3 linked regions of the Alligator mississippiensis genome follow. The protein of the gene in region 3 binds, or shares a complex with, the protein of the main gene of each other region. Links are inferred from orthologs where the notes say so. Each region holds a gene or a part of one and is shown on either strand. Other genes may lie near its edges.

Evidence for each region. Proteins that work in one complex are often made in the same cells at the same time.
Region 1: the proteins of YWHAZ (region 3) and STK26 are in contact, whole or in part, in a crystal structure (PDB 5XY9), measured with the Homo sapiens proteins. The link is inferred for Alligator mississippiensis from reciprocal best matches to the Homo sapiens genes YWHAZ and STK26. Residues at the interface, in NP_001129171.1 of Homo sapiens: Lys49, Asn50, Gly53, Ala54, Arg56, Arg60, Lys120, Arg127, Tyr128, Leu172, Asn173, Val176, Tyr179, Glu180, Asp213, Leu216, Ile217, Leu220, Asp223, Asn224, Leu227, Trp228; in NP_057626.2 of Homo sapiens: Arg316, Glu317, Asn318, Asn319, Thr320, His321, Pro322, Glu323, Trp324, Ser325.
Region 2: the proteins of YWHAZ (region 3) and STK11 are in contact, whole or in part, in a crystal structure (PDB 5WXN), measured with the Homo sapiens proteins. The link is inferred for Alligator mississippiensis from reciprocal best matches to the Homo sapiens genes YWHAZ and STK11. Residues at the interface, in NP_001129171.1 of Homo sapiens: Asn42, Ser45, Val46, Lys49, Asn50, Arg56, Arg60, Phe117, Lys120, Arg127, Tyr128, His164, Pro165, Ile166, Gly169, Leu172, Asn173, Val176, Tyr179, Glu180, Asp213, Ile217, Leu220, Asn224, Leu227, Trp228; in NP_000446.1 of Homo sapiens: Trp332, Arg333, Ser334, Met335, Thr336, Val337, Val338, Pro339, Tyr340, Leu341.

What each region holds. Positions count from the first base shown.
Region 1 is NC_081831.1:81,457,248-81,464,781, reverse strand, and holds the start of STK26 (serine/threonine-protein kinase 26), read left to right. Parts: upstream 1-4,485; 5' UTR 4,486-4,500; coding exon 4,501-4,503; exon of another isoform or gene 4,504-5,049; coding exon 5,050-5,139; exon of another isoform or gene 5,140-6,119; intron 6,120-7,516; exon of another isoform or gene 7,517-7,534. UniProt on the Homo sapiens protein: Serine/threonine-protein kinase that acts as a mediator of cell growth. Modulates apoptosis. In association with STK24 negatively regulates Golgi reorientation in polarized cell migration upon RHO activation.
Region 2 is NC_081839.1:2,851,588-2,858,713, forward strand, and holds the start of STK11 (serine/threonine-protein kinase STK11), read right to left. Parts: upstream 3,050-7,126; 5' UTR 3,033-3,049; exon of another isoform or gene 2,970-3,032; intron 2,719-2,969; 5' UTR 2,003-2,718; coding exon 1,713-2,002; intron 1-1,712. UniProt on the Homo sapiens protein: Tumor suppressor serine/threonine-protein kinase that controls the activity of AMP-activated protein kinase (AMPK) family members, thereby playing a role in various processes such as cell metabolism, cell polarity, apoptosis and DNA damage response.
Region 3 is NC_081826.1:38,283,261-38,290,379, reverse strand, and holds the start of YWHAZ (14-3-3 protein zeta/delta), read right to left. Parts: upstream 3,029-7,119; 5' UTR 2,918-3,028; intron 1,067-2,917; 5' UTR 1,057-1,066; coding exon 763-1,056; intron 1-762.

The DNA of each region.
Region 1 (7,534 bases), on a different chromosome or scaffold from region 3:
ACTCAGCTGCCGATATCCGCTCTTCTGCCAAACCGAGGAAGAGGGACTTCAAGGACAGGACTGGGATTGCCCTCGACAGGGGTGAAGGTGAGATCCCGTCCATGTTCAGTGCCAAATCAGCAGTGTGAACTTTTCCCTGTTGCACACGGAGCGAGGCAGGGGTGACTGGTGTGACTCCAGGTGTGGTCAATCTTATCTTGGAATAAGAGTGGCATTTCCTGGTGTAATTTGCATCACTTGGAAAGGGGACTTCCACCCACACAGCTGTGGAGGTAGGAGTCATCCCAGCATTGCTGGGCCTTGGGCATGGCCAGTGGGGCAGTGACAATGGCGAGGTGGTTCTGACCAAGCCCACGTTGGCGGAGAGACACAGTGTGAACAGAAAAGAGTGACAAGAGGTGACAATGCTCTGCTGGGCCCATTTGTGCTGCAGGCAAATGACTCCTTGGCTACACTGCTTGTGCCATAAATAAAGCAACAATTGCATATTGTGATGCAAATTGCTTGGTGGTAAAGCCCTGCTGCCATCAAGTCTGTGTGTGAAAGCACATGTGGAACTGGTGTCTTTCTGGACTCTGGTTACGTGCTCCTCCAGAGGAATGCCAAGCCTACCCACGCTGCCTTATTGGAAAGAATTAAAGCAAAGACCTAAAGCAAAGGGGCATGCCACATCTGGCCTGTCTTTGCGGGGGGTTTCTTTTTCGGTGTAGTTTTCTAGCTGCCAGATTCCTTAGGTGAATTGCAAAGAGTTTTTCAGAGACCTTCAGAGCCTAAATAGCCACTGGACCTTTCTAAAATGAGCCACAAACACCCTCTCGAAAGCCACGACAGTGCTACAGTGTCACCCCCCTCGTGTGCATTGTCAGGGGCATCTATGTGGATCAAATAATATATAGGGTGGCTGGAGAGAGAGAAGACAGGCAGGGTCTGCAGCATGGCAGGGCTCTGTGTGCTCTGTCATGGAATAATTATTACAGGGCCTTGTCTTTTTTTCGCCAGCCTCCCAAGAAGCTGTTGTACTCCTGGAGCACACACGTCGGCTCTGTCCAGGTCATCAGCTGTGTTACCTGATGCACCCACCGGTCTCTGCACTGCAGTCGCAGCTGGGCGGGCGGGCCCGGAGGAGAGGGGTTTTCTGAAGAAACAGAACGTAATGCTCCCGAAAGACAGTGAGTCCTTCCCTCCTACAGCTGCCCTGTGCGTTTTTCCTTGTGAGCAATAAAGACAATCCTGGTGCATAACTGCAGTGTGTGAAATAGGGTTAGTCACAGGACTTCCGGGCACAGCGGCACGTAAACAAGCTTTCCCCACTTCCCTCTTATGAAAGTTTAAGTCTGCTCCACTGCTCCGGCTTCTTTTCTTCTCTTTCTCTACCAGCCCCCTGACTCCCATTTATGTCTGATTCAGCCTAGCAAACATTTTACCCTGTGGCAATCTTTTCTAATGGAGCAGGAAGAGCAGCCTCTGGAGCGCACTCCTGACACATCCCTTGGGTTTTCTTTCTGGCTCTCTGGTTTGCTGCTCTTGCTCCTCATTCACATTAAGAAAGAAGAAACCAATGGCCCATGCAATCAGCAGCTCATTATCAGTGAATGGGGATGGGGCTTTGTGAGACTTCCTCTTTTTCTTTATTTCCCTTTCTCACTCATACATGCCACGAGGTTTAATCTTTGCAATGGCAGTTTCCTGGACTGTGTGTACACAGCTCCTCGCTGGCCTGCCTCGGCAGGGAATTGTGGACGTGCCTCCCTCACTGTGACACACATTTTAATGACTGATCTATTAACCTGCCCAGCAGCTAAGGAAGTACGAGCGCTCGTCCAGACGCAGGTGCATCGAGCTTTGCATATTTTATAGACGCGGGCTTCTAGACCACAGGTCGTGCTGTTGCTTTCCCCACTGAACCTCGGCGTTCTGGCCTTCCACGCCTGGCTCCTTCTCGGAGCTCAGGAATCAAAAGAATGCACGCAGCCGTTGGACAGGCCAGCGAGAGATGCTGAAGCAAAGCCAGGAGAGAAGGGTGCTACCAAGCGATTTGGTTTTCAGTGCACATCTTCATCAGCGGAAAAAAAAATGACATAAAATAATGGATACCCAACCCGTCAGGCCCAGTGGACCCCTGTAGACTTTACTGGACCCTCCATGCAGCTCTCTTTGCAAAGGTGTTGTATTGCATTCACCCAAAGGAGCTGGGGCTCCTCCAGCCGGATTCCACTGGCCCAGGAGATGCCTTCTCTGCCTGCTTTGCTCACATGGGCCCCAAGGACCGTCCATGGGGCAGCTCCTTGTCCCATGCAGGGCTCCAGCGACAGCAATAGATGGCCATGGATCTGCAGGGGTCTGCACACAAAGGCCCTAGCCTAGCAGACCCTTCCCTCTGCAGACAGCCTGCAGTGGTTTTGTGTTCCTGCCCTGAAGATGCATTGCCTGGCTTCTCACCGCAGTCAGGAAGCCCTTTGGTTGTATTACTTGCAGGCTCAGTGCCTAGCAGCTGGTTTATGAGGCTCCTTTCATCTCTTATTTTTAAAAGAAAGACAATAGGAACTTCTGGGCTGCCTGTTTCCCCTGTTGTGTTATGAAGTTAGCAAATTTCTCCTCCTCCTCTTGGGAATCGCTTCATCTCTCCTTCCCCACTCCAGTTCCTTGCTGTCCCTGAAGCGTTGGCTGCAGCCGTGTTGGTCTAAGGACACAGGCAGACAAGGTTCTTTGGGTAGATGTGATATCTTTTATAGACCAACTAAGTAGTTGGAAAAATTGTTCTTTGCAAGCTTTTGGGTTCAAACACCCTTCTTCAGGCAGAGGGAGAGTCTCTGAGGCACCTTGAGGGGCTCTGGTTTTCCCCTGCTCTGCTTCCCTCCCCTTGGAGGCCAGGTGTCATAGCCAAAATCTGCTTATCGGCTGCTTTCCTTTCCATCAGTCTAGTCAAAGAGAGACTAGTGCTAAACCTGTGCTAAACCTGCGCTAAACCTGTGCCTCTCACAGTACAGTGGCTTCAGGACATTTTTCCTATGAGCTGTGCTCTATTTGCCCCTTGTGCACAAGCTCCTTGTTAACAACCGAGTAAACTTCTTTTTAACAGCCATCTCTTTCCCCTTGGAAGCTCTCAATGAGGGGCCTGTTTTTGCTAATCACTGCTGGGAGGAAGATCAGTCACACCTAAGACAAAAATGGTTCTGTTCCCTCTCTCAGGAATGCCCTGGGTTTCCTTCTTTAAGGGGTCTTGGGTAACAGCCCACCCTGTGAAAATGTTTGCAGGGTTTTAAAAGCCCAGGGCTCCAGGTTAGTCACCTGGAACGTAGAAAGCCAGTCCCCTGTTGAGCACAGAACAAGTCCCTTTAGTGAAACGAACATAAAGCTAGAAACACTCTTGTCAGTGAGTTGAAGAGGTCAGTTGTTAGTTCGTGACTAAATACACAGAAGAGAACAGGTCTGATGAGGAAGAAGACATCCATCCTTAAGCGACTGGGGTTTTTTCAGAGTGGAAAAGCATACTTCAGTCTGTTTTGCCAGCAGGCTCCCCTCCTTATCATCACCTGCTGGGTGCGGAAACAATTCTTTTGTTTTCCCCACTGATCTCCCAAAAAATGTTGAGTCCTGTAGGGTTGTTGGTTGCAGCCGTGTTGATCTAAGGACGCAGGCAGACAAGGGTCTTTGGGTAGATGTGATATCTTTTATTAGACCAACTAAATAACGAGGAAAATGTGTTCTTTGCAAGAAGGGTGTTTGTGCCCAAAAGCTTGCAAGGTGCTCCCAGGGGTGTAGGTTGTAGCCGTGTTGGTCTAAGGACACAGGTAGACAAGGATCTTCGGGTAAATCTGATATCTTTTATTAGATCAACTCAAAAAAAGCGCAAAGCGTTCCTATGCACTTAAGTAATCATGGGCTTGATAGGCAGATGAGTGATGTTTGTTGCAGTATAAGTGCTAGGCAACAGATCAGGACCAGTCTCCTGTTATGCAGTTGAGAGGAGGAGGATGTGTTTATCTGATAGGCATGTAAAAGGATTATATTGTATGCAGGAGTCTCCTCATCTCTTTATGGCCTGTGTGGGGTCACTGAAGAGGTAACAGATTTCTCAGCCATGTTCTCCCGGTTGAAATCTCATGTCCCTCCTTTAAGGAACCGTTGCCTTCCTGAGCAGTGCCGTCCACGCTCCGCCAGCACAGAAACGGCTTTCTCAGCCTGTTTTCAACAGGTAGGGATAGCCCGGATTTGCCAGGCAGCCCTTGGAGTTCTGCCCATACTTTTTGTGAGCGCCGTTGCCATGATACAGAACGTAGAGCAGATGTTTATTTCAACAGAGATGTCTTTAATTCCTTCTCAACGTTTTTCTCAGGCTGCCATCGTGTGCGAATACTTCTCTGTAGGAGCCAACTGCAGCCCGGGCCCAAGAGCAGAGCCTGATTCAGAAGGAAACGGAGGGTTGGAGGTGTGTAGAGGAGAGGTCAAGACAGACAGCCAAGCCTGCTGGAAGTTTCTGAGCGCCCACGTTTGGTAGGGATGGTAAGGAGCTGAGGGAGCCTCGACCAAAATGTTTTCTGGAAAACTAGCGGCATTATAGCGGTTAATGAAAAGCAATCCCCCTTCCACTCTACTTGGGCTTCAATTTTTTTTTTCTTCCCTTCCTTCCCCCCTCCTATACCTTTCTTTCCTTAACGCAAATAATCCAGCCCTTTTCTGTGTGGTCCATTACCTGGAAGTAACCCTGTGTAACAGGCTGTGATAGGCCAGAAATGCCTTAATTGTACTGACAGCAATAGAGACAGGATGCTAAAAATGTAGGGGTAGGCGTTGCACTTTCCTCCGCCCTTCGTGGGGTACTTACTCCTGTCAGGGACTGTCAAGAGCTCTCATTCCTAGGTGCATGGTTTCCCTTTGTCTTTGTTCCCTTTCTTTTCTCTCCTTAGTGCTCCTAGTTTTCTCCCTGCTTTCTTCTTCCTTCTCTTCTCTCATTTTTCATCTCTATTTTTAACTGCTGCTGCCTCCCTCCGGGCTCATCTGCCCTTTTTTCCCCTCTAGGCTCTTATCTGCCTTGTCTTCTTCCTGCAGGAGTGGATCAGCGTTCCTACCCGCTGGATCGCAGGCAGACAACCATCTCTCGGAGAAAAGCACTGTTACACTGCTGCTCTGCTTCTGCATGTGGGTATGGGTTGGTATGTGGGAGAAATCCCACTTGGAAGTGGTGCCTTCCTGGAATGGGTGCTTTTTTAGCATAGGAATTCTGCTTCGAGCCAGCTTCCTGTTGCTGCTGCCTTATATAGAAATGTTTTATCATTCTATAAATACAGTATGTGTTTTATTAAAAAAGAAGACAGAAATGGATATGCAGGAACAAAATGCTGGAGGAATAACGGTGAGTGGCAGGGCCTCTCGCAGACTTCCTCCACCCCTTCCACTGCTGTGGTCAAGCTATTTTTGTATTCCACGAAAGAGCGCTCTGCTGAAACTTCAGGTTCCTTCTTAAAAGGAAATTGGAAGAGGGGAAGGGTCTGTTTTAAAACTAGAAAATAAAGTTGTAAGCAGGAATGAGACTATAACAATTTTAAGCTGAGAACCTCAAATCTCTAGATTTCCCATCTCTAAATTCCCATTGGATTGCATAGTACAGGTTTGGGCCTAAATTAACTAAGATTCCCAGTGAAGGATATCCTGTAAATACTGCCTTCAGTTTACAGCTGGGCATGCAATAGCTCAGAAAGGATAAGTGAATTGGCCAAGGCCATACAACAAATTAGTGGGAGAGCCAGGCACAGAAACCTGGAGCCCTGGCTTCCAATACTGTGTGTAACATCCTGTGTGCACAACCACTGCAGAAGGGAACTTAATGCAAAAAAGAAGAAAAAGACTTCTTGCGAAAAAAAAAAAAGGCCCTTGTTAATTTGGTAGCTCTTTTATTAAACCTCTACTGCATGTCACAAAAATGTTGGGATCTATCAGCTATGTTGTTAATGTAGTTTGGCACGGATTATACCGTGGACATGGGTGTCAGGAAAGGGCAATTCTGCATGCCTATGCTGAGAAACCCCATTTTGTTGTTGTGGCGCAACCTATCCATTTGTTTCCTGAAGTTTGAAGCTGAATCCTTGATGTCCTGCACTATTTGTTTGATTCGAGTTAAACTGCAATTCAAAGAAAGACGTTAGTGCATATCTACAACCAGCCTACTGAAATCATCTAGCATTAATTAAGCTTTTGTTAATGTGCTGTACCCAGAGTGGGTGTGTATTGTTGTTCCAGTCACACTCAGAGCATTCCCTCCCTACCAAGGCTGTTCAGAACATGAGACACAGATATTAATAAGATGCCTTTGGGCAGTGGCTTTATCTAGTTTCTGACCTTTTTGTAATGAATTTAATCTACAGAAGATTAGCTTAAGACAGATACTGTATTAAAATACATAATTCATGGCAGTACGGATACTCTTGTGATGAAGGTGAATAGTACTGGGTAAGTATACCATTGAACTTCTGGTCTGGTAATTCTCTTTGTCACAGGTTTAGTCACCGTACTGAATCACCCCAGTCTTTTCCCTCTCCACCTTCTTTATCTGTAATATAGCATGCCTGAATAAGGTCAATACACAGCTTTTTTCCTGCTAAAAAGACAGTCGTTTGTGACAAAGAAAACCTCTCAGGAAAAGAAAACTGAGAATTTGGCACAAGCTTATTTGCTGGAGCGGGTATAAATGCCTGTTTGTTTTATTATAGGCAGAGCTACCTAAAGCAACTTGACATCTCTTGTTTTAAACCCTGTTTTCAGTTGCCTATATCTTTGCCAAATTTGAAGCATTTGGGTTGAAATTATCCATTGTGGGTATCTGCCTCGAGCTGATATATATTTTTTATTTATTTAAGTTTCAGCTAAAATGGCTCAGCTGTTGCTCAGAGCGAGGCTGGGAGAAAAAAAAAAGAAGTTGTATTGCAATTGTTAGAAAACCACATCTTTTATAGGCATTCTATTGAGAAACTCTTACCCTTCACCTTCCCCTCCCTGGCTATGGTTTGGAGCAGGGATGTGAAATTTAGGAGACATCTCCCTGGTGTCAGAAGCATGCCTTTTGCTGTCTTTATGAAACCTGCCCTGATTAGCACCAACCAGACCTTGGAAAATCATAGCTCGCCCATGCTCAATTGAGTCTTGTTGGAGTTCCTAAATTCTGTCTGCAGTGATCATGCCTCACAGATGAAATGAGCATGCTCAAGAGCTGCAGGGGCTGAGCAGGATTTTCCTTTGATTGTTCTTCATGGGGCTGCTGTAGCATGGGGCACCCGGGCTGAGAACAGGGAGACCGTCTCTGCTGAACTCTCGGGAGTTTTGCAGCCTGTTCGCAAAGAGCTACTCGTAAGCAAGGGTAATTGGTCATAGGATCATGAGTTGTCACATCAGGTAGAACCAGGAGCACGTTTAGGTTTGTTATTTTGTCTTCTACATTAAGCAGAATTAAATGCTTTAAAAGATGTAAGAAACATTTCAAGTATGGAACAACTTGTCTCCAGGAAAAAAAATGCTTCCTTACCTCCATTAGTTGGAAGCC
Region 2 (7,126 bases), on a different chromosome or scaffold from region 3:
TACTACAGCCACAGATCCAAAGAACTCTAATAGTCAGGTACTGCTGAATAAGCAACCCAGAGTGATCACAGAAATTAAATATCTTCTGGTTCAACTGCTGTGGTAACTAAATGAGGTGAGACACATCCACAGAATGGCTAAGGACAGTAAAATTAAGAGGATACAGATGATATTTCTACGTAGTTTATTTCAGGACACAGGACCACTTCATGCTTTCTGCATCACAAAGCTGACAGGTTAATTCCAAGAATTCTGTTTCACTGGGAGGGGGTGGGCTTTTAGGGGAACAATTCAGGGGAAAGCAGCTTTCCCTTTTTTGGGGGAAGCCCTGGGTGTCACTGGAGACCAGAGAAAGAAAGAGAAGGGAACAAAGTGACACATGTGCCTCTACCAGAAGAAGAAAAAAAAAATGTTTTATTACACATTAACCAGCAGTTTACTTTTATAAAAATCAGAGCCAGCACTAGAGAGACGAGATGCCCTGTCGTGATTTTGTCGTAACACTGGAGCAAAGCCCGTCCATCCTGCACTCTCAAGGTTAGAAGGTAAACTTGAAAAGCTAACCAATGGAAGGCCCCAGCACAGGATGCAAAGCACTGGCCAGCTGACCTCAACAACCCAAACCAAAACAGAAAAACAGAAACAAGAGCCCACGAGGTCAGGGCTCTGCACTCAGCATGCCGCAGGCAAAGAGGCAACTCCAGAAACGTCACAGGAGACTTGGAAACATCTCCCAAGTTTTCCTCCTGCCACGAGATAAGCTGCAGAAAACTATTTGTTTTGGCAGCAGAAGTGTCCCCTTCGCATCAGACAAACAACCCAATCTCACATGGCTTGCTGTGGCCGCTTGCTGTGGCAAATGCAGTTGCCTGTAGAGCCCCTGCACATGTAACATCAAGGAAAGGGAATGTCAAAAATGAACTGTACTTCTGACTGAAGCACAGAACCAGTTTATCCCAATAAGGCGTTTGAATTGGGAGTTATCTGGATGCGGAACTTGTTTACCAATACATGACTTAGCACTCAAAGCACTCTTCAACCACAAATTCACTTCCCCAAGAGAGAAGCATCATTACCTCCACTTCACAGCTAAAAAAAAAAATTGACCAAGGCAGATTAAGGGACTTCCCAAGGTCAGGCTGGTCAATAGCATAACTAGGAATAGAGCCCAAGTCTCCCAACGCACTGGCTCACGCTGCCACCCATGGAATAACTGCCTGGAACGCAAGACTTCCCAGCAGAGGCCCATGAAGTATCGCATGCACACAGCAGCAATGCAAAGTTTATTCTTCCTCTGCAGCAGGCAACCTTTCACCCTGCCTTGTTAGGGCAACTAAGCACAACACTGTTTACTGTGTGCCTCTTGGATGAAATTGCAGAAAGAGGGGTTCTCCCTGCTTCGCAGCAATGCCTGACGGCCCAGAACATTGTGCTGCTTGTAGAAGTGGATATATTTGCTCCCCATGTCCTTGGGAATAAAAGGTTTCCTTTTCCTGTACCCCCCCTGTTCAGCAGTATTTAAGAGAGTTACCCTCCAACTCAGAATTGGCTGCATTTCAGAGGTGAAGCAATTCCTGCATGTATGTGGCTTGTAAAGTCCTTTCAAAACATATGGCTACATGCGGTGTTGAATAAAACAATACGGACTCTCAGCCAGAAAACACTGACCGGATTTAACCCTGTTGCAACTAGCCGCAGGAACCCATACTCACTTTTTAACATTTGCCTCCCCATTAGGGATCCTGCGTAGCTTCTTCTTCTTCAGGATTTTGACAGCCCTTCTACAGAGGGTTTCAGAGTCCAACATCTCCTTGACTTTGCCGTAAGACCCTTCTCCGAGTAAGTCCCCCATCAGGTATTTGCCAATAAGCTTGGCCCTTTTGCGCCGCGGCTGGTAAATGACCTCGGTGGAGTCGATGCGATGGATAAAAGTGTCCATCCCCACAGACATCAGCTCACTGTCTGCAAACATACTCAGCTGTTGGGGCTCTTGCATATCCATCCTGGATTCAGTTCTGTAACCCACTTGCCTCAGCCCTTAAGATTTTAATCCAGTTCTTTTTAGCTCCCGACACTCCCTTTGACTCCTCGAAAAAAATTATCCATAAGATTGTACGAACATTAATTAAAAAAAAAACAAACCAAAACCCAAAAACCAACGAACAAAAAAAAGAACCATCAGCTGCTCGTAAGCTCGACAGGGTCCGATAAGATCCAGAGTCTGGCCCCAACAACGCGCTCTCTTTCTTGCTGTTTTATTTATTTTTTTCCCAATGTCTGAATTTTTCAGTTCGGGATTTATTGATTTCACCTTTTGACCCGGTCCCGCTACTCGGGCTCAATCAGGTCAACTCTTGGCCTTCGATTTGGCCCAGTTTTGATGCTTAAGTGCTAGGTCATCCTCTGGGATCCCAGACGTCAAACCCACGAGAAGACGAACGAGTCTCTTTCGTGACTTTCCATTACCGGCGGGTCATGGCCCCCGCGGGGCTGGTTTCCGCTCGCCCGCCGGCCCGGCGGCGCCCCTCAGCCGTTGGGCAGCTGGAACCAGGTTTCCTCGAAGGCGTTTTCGAGACCGATCCTCGCCGCCTCGCGGTCCCTCCTGGCGAATGCTGCAGGCCTCCCGGGCCTACCGAGAGCTCCCGGGGGCATCCTTCAGCCGCTCCGATGCCGCCTGACACATGATGCGTCGCCGCCGCGGCTCCAGAGCTCGCTGACCTGGGAGACACGGAACCGGCTCACACCGCGCCCCGACCCCGAAATGAGGGTCATGACCCCTCATGAGGCAGCCCCCCCTCCCAAGCTGCTGAGGGGCCGCCCCTCACCCGAAGCTGACCCCTTGCCCCCCCCCCCAGCAAGGCCAGCACAGGAGACCCCCACCCCACTGCCCTGCCCCGCCCCGGGGAGGGGTCTCGCTTCGCCCCCACGCCCTGCCAGGGGGGGCTCCGCGCTTCCCGCCCCCTCCTCACTTCGGAGCGCCCCGCGCCGCCTCGCCCCCGCTGCCGCTAGCACGCCGCCGCCATTTTGTTTACCTCCCTCCCCCCGGCACCCGCCGCCCTCCCCTCTCCAGGGCCTCACGCCTCCCTAGCGACCGACGTGCGCTTCCATTGGCCGCCGCGGCGTCCCCGCCCTCGCGGATTGGCCCGCCGGCGGATGGTAAGGGCGGGCGAGTCGGATTGCCCGCTGCCCATTGGCGGGTTGTATTTAGAGCCCGCCCCTCTCCGGCGGCGGCGGGTGGGGGTGGGAGCTTGGTGCGGGGGTGGGGCTTGCGCTGAGGAGACTGGAGTGGAGTGGAGTGGGGGGTGAGGGGGCAAAGGGCAGGGGTTAAAGGGCAAGGGGGAGGGGGATGTGGGGTTAGCTGAGCGAGGTAGACATAGGGGGTCCTTAGGAGCAGGTGTCCTAAAGGGGAGGGGGCTTTTTGTCCAGGAAGACCTCCTCAGTACAGGCATACGCACTTTACCTAGCCCCAGGCCTCTGGCCTAGGCTGGGCCACCTCAGGGACCGGAGGCAGAATATTATTTTACACATCAATATGTAAAATATGCATAGCTAATGAACTGCTCATTGTTTAGGATGTGTAATTACTTAATAGCAAGCTTTTATTGGGTCTAGATTAGTTTTGGAAAAGGAACTGGGCATAAGCAACCAACTTTAGCCTCACCTCAGGCTGGGGTTGCTCCTTGCCCGTCTGCCCCCAGCCCGGGGGTGGAGGTGGGGGCGTCTTCCTGGGCAAGAAGCCCCCACCCCTCCATCTTGATCGTAGCCAGGCTACGATCCTCTACCAGGCAGGGGGAAGCGCTTCCGGAGGCAGGTTTGATCCAGCGCAGCCGCCGGCGGCGGAAAGCACCTGCCTGCCGTGGGGCCGCTCAGCTCACGGCCTTGGAGAGCTCTTGGTGCGGGCGAGACTTTCTCTGCAAGTCCTGCTTTCTGATGACCGGGCCTGGGTTAGGCAGACGTTGGTCACTTGCACGCTCCCATCTGGACGACAGCTGTGCACTTGACCTGGGCAGGAAGACATCTGCCTTCAGGAAGTGCCAGCTAGTCCAGCACACCGTAGAGCATCTGGACTACGGGGAGATCGTCACGCTCGTGCTCCCTTCTGCTTTCTGCACTGGCTTCCTTCACAAGTACCGAGCCGCCTTCGGGGTTTTCAGCGGCCTAAGCGCAGCAAGTCTTGATATTTCCTAGAAACTCCAGGATGGAGACGAGTCAACGGTCCTCTTTCTCCAGCATAATGGATCTTTCTGCTGCAAGGATAAAACATGTCTGGAGACAGAGCTTTCTCAGGGGCTGCTTAGGGACCGTGGAGCAAATTCCCTGAGAAAAAAACAAGGACCGTCCCAATCCACTTGGATGTAAAAGGTGCAATTTTTGATCTACCTTCTTTTAATAGGAATGCAGAGCAATTACAAACATCTAATAAAACCCCCTCAACAAGCTCCTGGGCGTTTCATATGACAGATGAGTCCTGTCCCTTCCTGCACAACAAGTTGCTCAGATGCTATGTGATGAGGGTGCTGGTATAAGAATCTATACTTCCAAGGAGAAGGGTAAAGACATTTTATGTAGGCTGCAAAAAGCACTTGCTTAAGGACAAGAAAGTCACGTGGCAGAAGCCTGATGACAGTATCTTAATCCCTATTCAAATACTGCACATGCTGGTTGTCAGCCATTTGGTACGTGGGGAACAGGTCCCATCAGGCAGTGTTGCTTCTGTGCAGGATACAGGCTATTATTGCTACTTTGGGTTTTTTTTAGCTTAAGTGTTGTGCTGAATTTGGTTCTTTTCTCAGAGCTTTGGCTCCTGGAGTCTTGCTGAGTGTGGTTCCACACATGTGGGGCACTGTCTTATTTTTAAATGCAGTCCTAGAAGGAACCTAAAATACCTTTGGGACCAGCATGACATCAGTTTATGATGTTTAAATGGGATTGCCAGCTGGCTTGTATTTCACTGGCAGAGTCACTGTTTGTACCCTCAGGCCTGTGCTGAAATCCTCATGCCCTTATGCTATTTCTGCGCAAGAAGAGCCTTACTTGGGTCAGGTGTAAAGGCATGATTCTCCTGTTGCCTTGTTGCTGAGAGTCAAGAGGATCTCAGTTGAAATCATACAATTCCTTTGGTATTAGCTCGTTCATAGTGGAACCAGGTCTACAGGGCTTCAGAGTTCATAAGGTAAACTGGATAGCTACCATTTCCCCACCCCCTGCGCTGCTTTTTTCCCCTTACATATGCAGATGTCACTAATAGACGAGTCTGGACCTGTAGGTGGGAAACCAGCCCACAGGCAGAGCAGTGAACCAGGCTGTTCAGAGTGTTCACTCTGTCCTGGCTCAGCAGCCGGCAGATTGTATGGTGCACTGCCAAGAGAGAGTGTTGGTGTTCGCTCTTCCTGTGCTGGTGGTGGAGGGCAGGGGCAGTAGTGTTCAGCCCCTTGGATCATATTGTGTTATTCCAACAGTATCCCTAGCCAGTTGTCCAGGAGCAGGGTGAGATCACCCTGGAGCTCCTGAATGAGGGAAAGGCATTTTGCAGTGAGATGCTTTTGTGGGGGGGAAGGAGGGAGGGAACAAGTGGGTGCAGAGAAGGGTGGAGCTGGGAATTGTCTGGTGCCATGGGCAGACTCCACCCAGACCCCAGATCTTGGCTCACCCCATGTCTCATTGTGGAAGTCTGTACTTTGTTTGGCTGCCAAGTCACTCTGGCAAGTGTCTGACCTGGCAGGTATAGAATTTGGGGGGGAAAAAGACAAGTTGCATCCCTTCCCCCCCTGTGACAAGCATTCTAACCCTTTCCTTTTACCAAACCTTTACCCCTCCTTCCTGGCAAAGAAGGCTCTGATCTTCCCTTCCAGCACCCCAGTTGGCTACTCTGGTCCCCACCCTATGCCACACCCAACCCTGCTTTGGACTCGAGCTGTGGCACTTGACTGCGTGACCCTCAGAGAAAGTCCCTCTTCTTTTAGATGTGTTACGTTTGTGCTCAGCAGCATTTGGCATCAGCCCCCATTGGGCCCAGTGACACAGATCATACAGCATGTCCAGCATGGCAGTTCCCCTGATCAGCACCAGTCAGACCGCGTGGGTGTCACCTGGCCTATTTCTCTTCCTCCCAGTAGATCTTTTGACCATCTGCTAGCAGGGAAGCTGCTATCTCGCTCTTGGGGGCTGGGTCCAGCCTGGGAGAGAAGAGCCAGTGAAAAGACTGCTCCCCTGCCGCGCCCCCAGTCAGCATGGCTAGCCACTTGGCTCTGCCTGTTTTAAGCATGATGCAACCTCCCTTGAGTCCAACTGCATCCCCTCCGGGAACCTGTTCTGCTGATCAGGGCGTTTGGTACTAAATTTAACTCGTGTAAAACCTCAGCGATGTGCCCTGGGGTCCGGTTACAGCCACTTGCATGAGCAGGACGTGCTTTCCCTCCTCTCCTTTCCAGCTCTTGACCTATTGCCTCCTTTCTGCTTTTCACCAGTTCCTGCCCTCCTTTCCTTCTCTCCCTCCTTTGCTCCACACATCCACCTTTCCCCCAGCTCCCCACTGTGCTAAACACTTCTGCTGGGCTCAGGACTCCATGGTACCTGGTTCTGTACAAGCGATACTATTTTGAAGGAGGTAACCATTTAAAACATAATGAAGTATCTTACACCGTGAGCTCTTTGGGGCTCTTTTTCAGCTATCTGTTTACTTTGATCTAGGACTGGTTCTTAGGCTAATTAGCAGAGTGCAGATAATAATAGGGAATCCTAATACAAATACTTAATATATGGAGAAAACAGCGCATTTTCTTAAATCTTATCTCTACTTCATTTCCTCTGCAATGATTAACTCTGGCTTAGAGACTGTTACTGAGAGCTGGAAGTTGCTTAAGAATCAGAAGACCCATGGAGGGATATAGCACAGCTCAAAGAGGCTGGTACTAGGATAGAGAGAATTGCACCTCCAGCTTCCAGCTCAGCCTGTCCCCTTTCAATACTGGCCTAAAGTTACTGCTGTCTGCTTGAGGAAATTCCAAGCCATTATCTGCATCTCATTTATATTGATCAGCTGCTGTTACAAGAGGAACATCAGCTTAGATGTCATTGGAGTCTCCTTAGCTGCTTCACGTGGGTCAATATAGATCAATGAGTTTGG
Region 3 (7,119 bases):
CCAGTAAACGGTGAACTTGTAGGAGTGTACTATTGCATACTTGAAAAGTCCCGCCCTCCCCTTTGACTCCCTCCCATCCCCCAATTAGTTTAAAACCCAAGCATTTTTCAATTATCATTCAACAAGCCACAGTATGTTCTGTAAGCCACAAGACTAGTTTAACTCTCAGGCTACCTTTACTATAGTTTACCACTAAAGAACTATTAACTGCAAGAGGGAATCAGCAGTACTGCCACTGCCTCCTCCTGCAGAGGATTTTCTGCATGGCTGAGTCATAACTAACATTACATCATCTAAACCAGGGAGGGGCACAATTTCCATAGTGTGAATTACCTCTTACAAGCAGCACAGTATATTAAGATGCCAGAAACGAACTAAGTTGTGGACAACACGGTTCTTGGAGAAACCACGCCCAAAGCTTTTATGAACACAGTCATTATCTGTGAATGAACCCATATTTGCTTATTCACAAATATACATCCTACAATAAAGCAACCTATGAATTTTCAGAGTTTATTTATATTTAAGATTTGACAATGTTAGTAGATGTCCATGAGAACTAATTACCAAATTCATTAAGGGGAAGAGGAAAAAGTCACCCACTTGTCTTAGTTTGTTTTTTTTAACTGGTATAGAAAAAGATTAAAGACTTGATATCACAGGCCTCAATTTTCAGTTTAGATTAAATGTCAGTTTAATGGGGTTAATATCATTTACCCTGCAATATTAAATCAACAGTTTAACAGTTTTGTTAGTTCTCACCAGCACATCATTGCAGATGTCCCTTAGCTCAGTCTCAATTTTCTCTCTGTATTCTCGGGCCATCTGCTGCTTTTTCTCAGCACCTTCCGTTTTTTGTTCAATACTTGAGACTACTCTCCAAGATGACCTACGGGCTCCTACAACATTTTTGTAAGCAACAGAGAGAAGATTCCTCTCCTCATTGGACAACTCAGCTCCTTGCTCAGTCACAGACTTCATGCAGCTTGCCATGTCATCATATCTCTCAGCCTGCTCAGCCAGTTTGGCCTTCTGCACCAGCTCATTTTTATCCATGCTGATTTTTCTGAGAAGGAAAAATAGGAAGGCATTATTCAAACATTTATCAAGGACAAAGACATTTTTAGCCTCATATCTAAAGCAAGATTTCTCTAGAGTAGTTAAGTTGTAATATTCCCGATTGTCAGCTTTTAGGATTTCTCAATGTTTTTTGTCATGACTTGAAGACTTTGATTTGCTTGTTTCTAAAAATTCAGACTATTAATTGATGTTTCTAGTCTTTATTGTTGCAGAGATAACTTTCCGAATGCTGAAGGCACACCTTTTCTGTGCTGTACATAATTCTGATCGTTTCCTCTCCCTCAATCAGTCCTAGTTCTCTTCATGATGTGGCTTGGGAGAAAGCTGAAGTTTGTCCATTTCATCATGCCAATGATTAAAGACCTGGGGAAAGCAATTTTGTGCTGCTCAGAGGGCCAAACAAAAAGGCCGGAGGAAAAGCCTTCACTCTCATGTTATAAAGCTCTAAAGGTTGTTTTTTTTTTTTAAAGGTTGTTAACTACTTTGAATGTAGGGGTTTCATTCGCACTAAGGATCCTGCCCTTTTAGGAATGTTAACTCTTTCCCTAGAGGATCAGTGGGATGAGCTTCTCATCCAAGTTGTGCTCCTCAGCCTCAGTAGTGAAGGCTTGGTGGACAAAGTTAGTATTACCTCTATCTGTACAGCCCCACTAAAATCCAGCCTAACACATCAGAAACATCTTTTGCTGGCTAAAATGACAACCTAGGGATAAAATATTTCTTAGGGTGACTGTCTTTTCTTGCACCAGTGAGGCAGCTGGGATAACGCTGGACAAGCTTTTAAAAGCAAGTCATCCTTCCTCAGGTCTCCTTAGGGATCTGCACCCCAGGGGGGCTTTTCAGCACTTGGGAGCCAACCTGACTCTTTTTCATGTCAGGAAAGATCAGAGGTTGACCCCTTCCCCCCACCCTATTTCATCAACCCCTAGTGACTAGTGCCTTCATTTATTTTTAAAGCCTAAAAATATACTGGGAGGTTCCTCGAGACCTTCGTATCCACCTGAGCAACACACTCCCTTCAGTCCTGCCCTCGGGCTCGTGTATTACCGATTCTCACGAGCCTCTTTCCCGACTGCGGGGCTGGGCGGAGGCGGGTGCGCGGAGCCCGCGGCGCCGCGGCCTTGCCCGCGCAGGGAGAAGGGTGGGAAGAAGCCATTTTGGGGCCGGGTTTCACGCGGGGCGGGTGGGAGCAAGGGAGGCAGCGGATGCCGCCGCTGCGCCCGGAGCCGTGCGGCAGCGCAGGGCAGGGCAGGGCAGGGCAGGGCCCGTGGCGCTCGGCTCTGACGGGGGAGGGGGCTGCCACCGCCCCGCCACGGCCCCGCCCGCCGGCATAAAATGGTGCTGGCCGCGCTCTCCGCAGCGGCGCGGGGGCGAGCCTGCAGCCGAGCCGGGCCTGGCCCTTCCCTTCCCGCATCCGCCCGGTTGCGAGAGGCGAAGCGCCGCGCCCGGCTCCTTTGTCATGGCGGCGCCGCGCCGCGCCCAGCTCAGCCTGCCGGCGCCTCCATCCCCCTCACCTCCGCCCCGCCCGGCCCACGGGAAGCCGCTCCCCGGCCCGGCCCCACCGCTGCAGGGCGGGGCCGCCCGGCCACAGCCCCCCCTTCGCCAGGCAAGGGCGCGGCGCTGCCTCGCCTCACCTGCCCCCACCCGGCCCCGGCCCCCACCCGCCGGGTCCCCGCAGCGCAGCGCAGCGAACCCCCACCCGCCACGCCGCGGAGCAGCTCCCGCCTCAGCAACTGGACCCGACCCGGGGAGCCGCCCGCTGGAGGGTGGGGGGCGCTGCTCCCCGCCTGGGCCGCCCCAGGGGAAGCGGTGGGGGGGGGGGGCGCAGGCCCGTTACCTGCGGCAGGAGGCCGGGGGCGGGCGGGCGCGGTGCGGGCGGGCGGCGGCGCGGACTGTGCCTGTATCGCGGCTCGCTCGCTGCAGCCTCGCTCCCAGCGCCACACACGGGGGCTCCGCCAATCACCGCGCCGCAACGCACTGCTCGTGACGTCAAGCGGGGCCATGGCAACAGCGAGGGAGCGCGTGCGCACGCGCGCCTGTACCCGCCCCGCCCCGCTCCCCTCCGACGCCCCCACGGGGGGGGTGGGGAGCGGCCACACCAACTGCCGCCGGCACCGGCGCGCGCAGCCGCGAGCGACCTCCGTCCCGGCCCGCCCACTCCCTCCCTCTGCGGGCTGCGAGGGTGCGCGCTGCGTTGCGCTGCGGGGGGCGGCTCGGCCGGGCTGCGGCAGGGCGGGGTCGCCCCCCCCCCCACCCCGTGCGGGGCCTGCCCAGGATCCGCGTTGCGCCCCCCTCCCCGAGGGCCCCGCAGCCTGGCCACCGACACGGGGTTGGGGCCGTGCTCACTGGGATGGGAGCGGCCCCCCAGGGGGCGGTGCGGTTGCGGCCCGCAGCCCCCACTTGCAGCCAGTTCGGGAGCCCGGCTTTTCCGCGGGGCTGGGTGAGTGCTGTTCCCGGGCAGGATGCGTGGCAGTAGCCAGCCCCGATGCAGCCCGCGGACGTGCCCCGCTGTGGTGCCATCTCCAGCCTGTCTGGGACGGTGCCACATGCGGTGCCCGGGCAGGGCTGGTGTGACACGAGCTGCCTACGGCGCCCACTGGTATCATCGAAAATGAGGGTGAACCGTAGTTTAACCCCCTGTTCACATCAGGGCTTTCCCAACTAGATCATTTCAGCCAATGCGGTGTCTACCTGGGTCTTAAAAACCTCCTGGGATGGAGATCTCACCAGCTGTCTGGGTAACCTGCTTCAGTGCTTTACTGCCCTCCTAGTAAGGACATTTTCCCTAATATCTAACCTAAACTTCCCTTGCTGCAGCTTGACTCTGGTGCTCCTTGTTCTGTCATCTGCCATCACTGAGGACAGCCTAGCCTGGGTAGGCAAATATTTGGGCCCATGGGCCATATAGCTCCCTAAAACTCTGTTGTGGGCTGGGTCACCCCCCCCCCCCACACACACACACAATTGCTCCCCAAACCTCCCTATGTGGAATGGGGCTGCAGGTGGGCAGGGAGCTGGTATAGGTGCCAGGGCTGCCCTGCGCCTTCACCCCACTGAGTGCAGGAGCCTGGCGTGGCCCAGAGGTGGCGCTGGTGGCTGCAGCAGTGATGGGGAGGAGCTGCAGGGCAGTGGGTCCCACTGGCACGAGCTCCAGGTCTTACATTTTATGGTTGCCGCCACTGCTGTTCATTGGGGCCAGAGTGGGCAGGTCCAGGGAGAGCGCTGCAGGGACCCCGAACCCCACACACGGCACGCCGTGGCCAGGGTGGCACACTCAGCCCAGGGCTCAGGCTCAGCCTGTACTAGTGTCCATGGAGCCAGAAGCAATGGCAGCAAGAAGGAGCCACCACTGACTGTCGCCTCTGTGTCTAGACCCCCACCACCTAGAGGGACCATGTTTTTAAAATGCAAAGGCAGGGCACATTCCCACCTTCCCCTCCACCTCCTCGCTGGTGGCAGAGCCAGAGCAGAGCAAAATGGAGCAGGGGGGCAGATACAGGTTGTGTGCTGTGGGCTCCGGGCAGCCCTGCTGCCCTCTCAGGAGCCCCATGCCAGCCATACCCCCCCTGCTTGTCCAGCAGCAGCAAGGGATCCAACTCCACACCTCTGCCATCCCCACTGCTGCCTGGGGGGAGTGTTGCCATGGCGGTGGGGTCTCCCTGTGGGGAGGACAGCAGGACAGGCAGCCACAAGCTTACAGCAGGCAGCCTGTATCCACCCCTGCCCTGCACACACATCTGGGAGGCACGTGCCTCCCATGCTCTCCCCCCCCCAGAACAGCATGTAGCAGTGGGGAGCTGCCCCCCTCCCATGCCCTGTGCCCCCTGGATGAGCTGCCCGTGGCTGTGTCCTACTCTATGCACTGCCCTAGCTGGGCAGTGCCCCCAGCCCCATCCCACTCGCTTCCTCACCACGGAGGCCTCGATCTACACCCCATCCCTCCATACCTTCTCTCCTCCCCATAAACCCTCCCTGACTTACCTGCAGGGAGCTGCTTTCCATGCTTCCCAGCTGTATTTCCCAGCCATGTGTGTGGGCATACACATGCATGTGGCACCACCTGCATCCTGCTCCCAGCAGCCCCAAGCAGCCCCTCGCAGGCTGGAATGCTGCCAGCCTGCAGGGAAATACGCCATTTCCTGTGGATCCCTGCATGATGCTGTGAATCTGGGACAGCCTGGGACCAGGACTTGAGGTTCCCATTCTGGGACTGTCCTGCCCAATTAGGGGCAGGTGGTCACCCTACTACTGCCACCAGCACTGCCCTTCTGCCCAGTGGAGTGACTGGAGCTGATGCCTGGCTTCGGTGGTAGTGGCTGGGTGCAGATTTGGCAGCGGCAGCAGTGGCTCCTTCCAGCTGCTGTTGGCAGCCCTGGCCCCATGGAGGCCAGCACAGGCAGGGCCTGAGCCCCAGATCCAAGTGCACTGTCTTGGCCCTGGCCCCAGCCCCGGCCCCAGCCTGTGTGAGGGTTCAGGTTCCCTGCAGTACCTGCTCCAGACCAGACCTGCCCACCCTGGCCATGATGAGGAGCAGTGGCAGCAGCAGTGGTGAGAAAAGCAGGACCTGGAGCCCATGCTGGGGCTGCCACTGCTGCCACCGCTCGTTGTGGTTGCTTCCTCCGTCTTTCTTCTCTAGACTCAATAAGCCCAGTTCCCTCAGCCTCTCCTCATAAGCCATGTCCCCCAGCCCCCTCACCGTTTTTGTTGCCCTCTGCTCTTGAATTTGTCCACATCTTTTCTGTAGTAAGGGGCCCACAACTGGACACAGTACTCCAGATGTGGCCTCACCAGTGCCAAATAGAGTGGACTACAGGCAGTCCTCGGCTTACAACATTGCAAGTTACAATGTTTCACACTTACAACGTTTATAAATTGACACCATGTTTCAACTTTCTGATGTAAGTTTTGATTTTACAATGCTTGATCCGATGTGACGACACACCAGCGAACAAGTTCACTGTGTCATCTGTCTCCCTGGAGAACATCTGTCCAAACTGCCTTGGACAGTTTCTTTAAGAAAGCAGACAAGACTCCAGAAAAACCTGGAGCCAAGACTCCTGAGAAGACTCCAGCCAAGAGCACTTCAAAAAGTCCAACCGAGAGCCCTTCAAAAAGTCCAGGAAAGTCACCTCAAAGAAGTCCTTCCAAATCAATATGATTGCTATTTACAATATAAATGCATTCATGTAGCTATATGACTCATCTATAGTTGATCAAGTACACAATTCTGGGGTATTTTTGGTGAAAATAGGGTATCGAGCTTTGGTTCAGGAACCAATCCCCCATTTATAACATTGTTTCTTATGAGAAAATTGGTTCCAAGTTACAACGTTTCAATTTAAGCTGTGGCTTTCAGGAACCAATTGTGTCCTAAGTCGGAGAACTGCCTGTAATCACTTCCCTCCATCTGCTGGCAATACTCTTACTAACGCAGGCCAGTATGCTGTTAGCCTCCTTCGCACAATGTTGGCTCATATTCAGCTTATTGTCCACTGTAACCCCCAGGTCCTGTTCTGCAGAGCTGCTCCTTAGCCAGTTGGTCCCCAGTCTGTAGTCGTGCATTGACTTGTTCTGTCCTAAGTGCAGGAGTTTGCACCTGTTCTTATTGAACTCCTGCCAGTCTGGGGCTCATGCTGCTTGTGGTGCCTACACTGGAGTAGCCAGGGGGTGCTACGTACAGCGCAGGTCCCAGAATGGCTGGAGTGGGTGCTGTGTGCCGTGTGTGTCCCAGGCTGGCTGGGGTAGGCACTGTGCATGTCCTAGACTGGCCAGAGCAGGTGCCATGTATGTTGCATGGCCTGGACTGGCTAAGGCAGGCCCACATGCAGTGCAGGTGCCAGGCCAGGTAGAACTGGCACCCTGTGTGGTGCAGGGCTGATCTGGTGCATGCCATGTGAGCTTTGTGAATCAACTCCAGACCCAGGGGCAGTACTGGGGGTGGATGATGTGCCTCTGTATGCCATGTCTGTTCCATGGGCCACCTCCTTTACATGCATAGCTTATACTGTACATCTCTGAGTTAGTTTATGAGATGCAAAT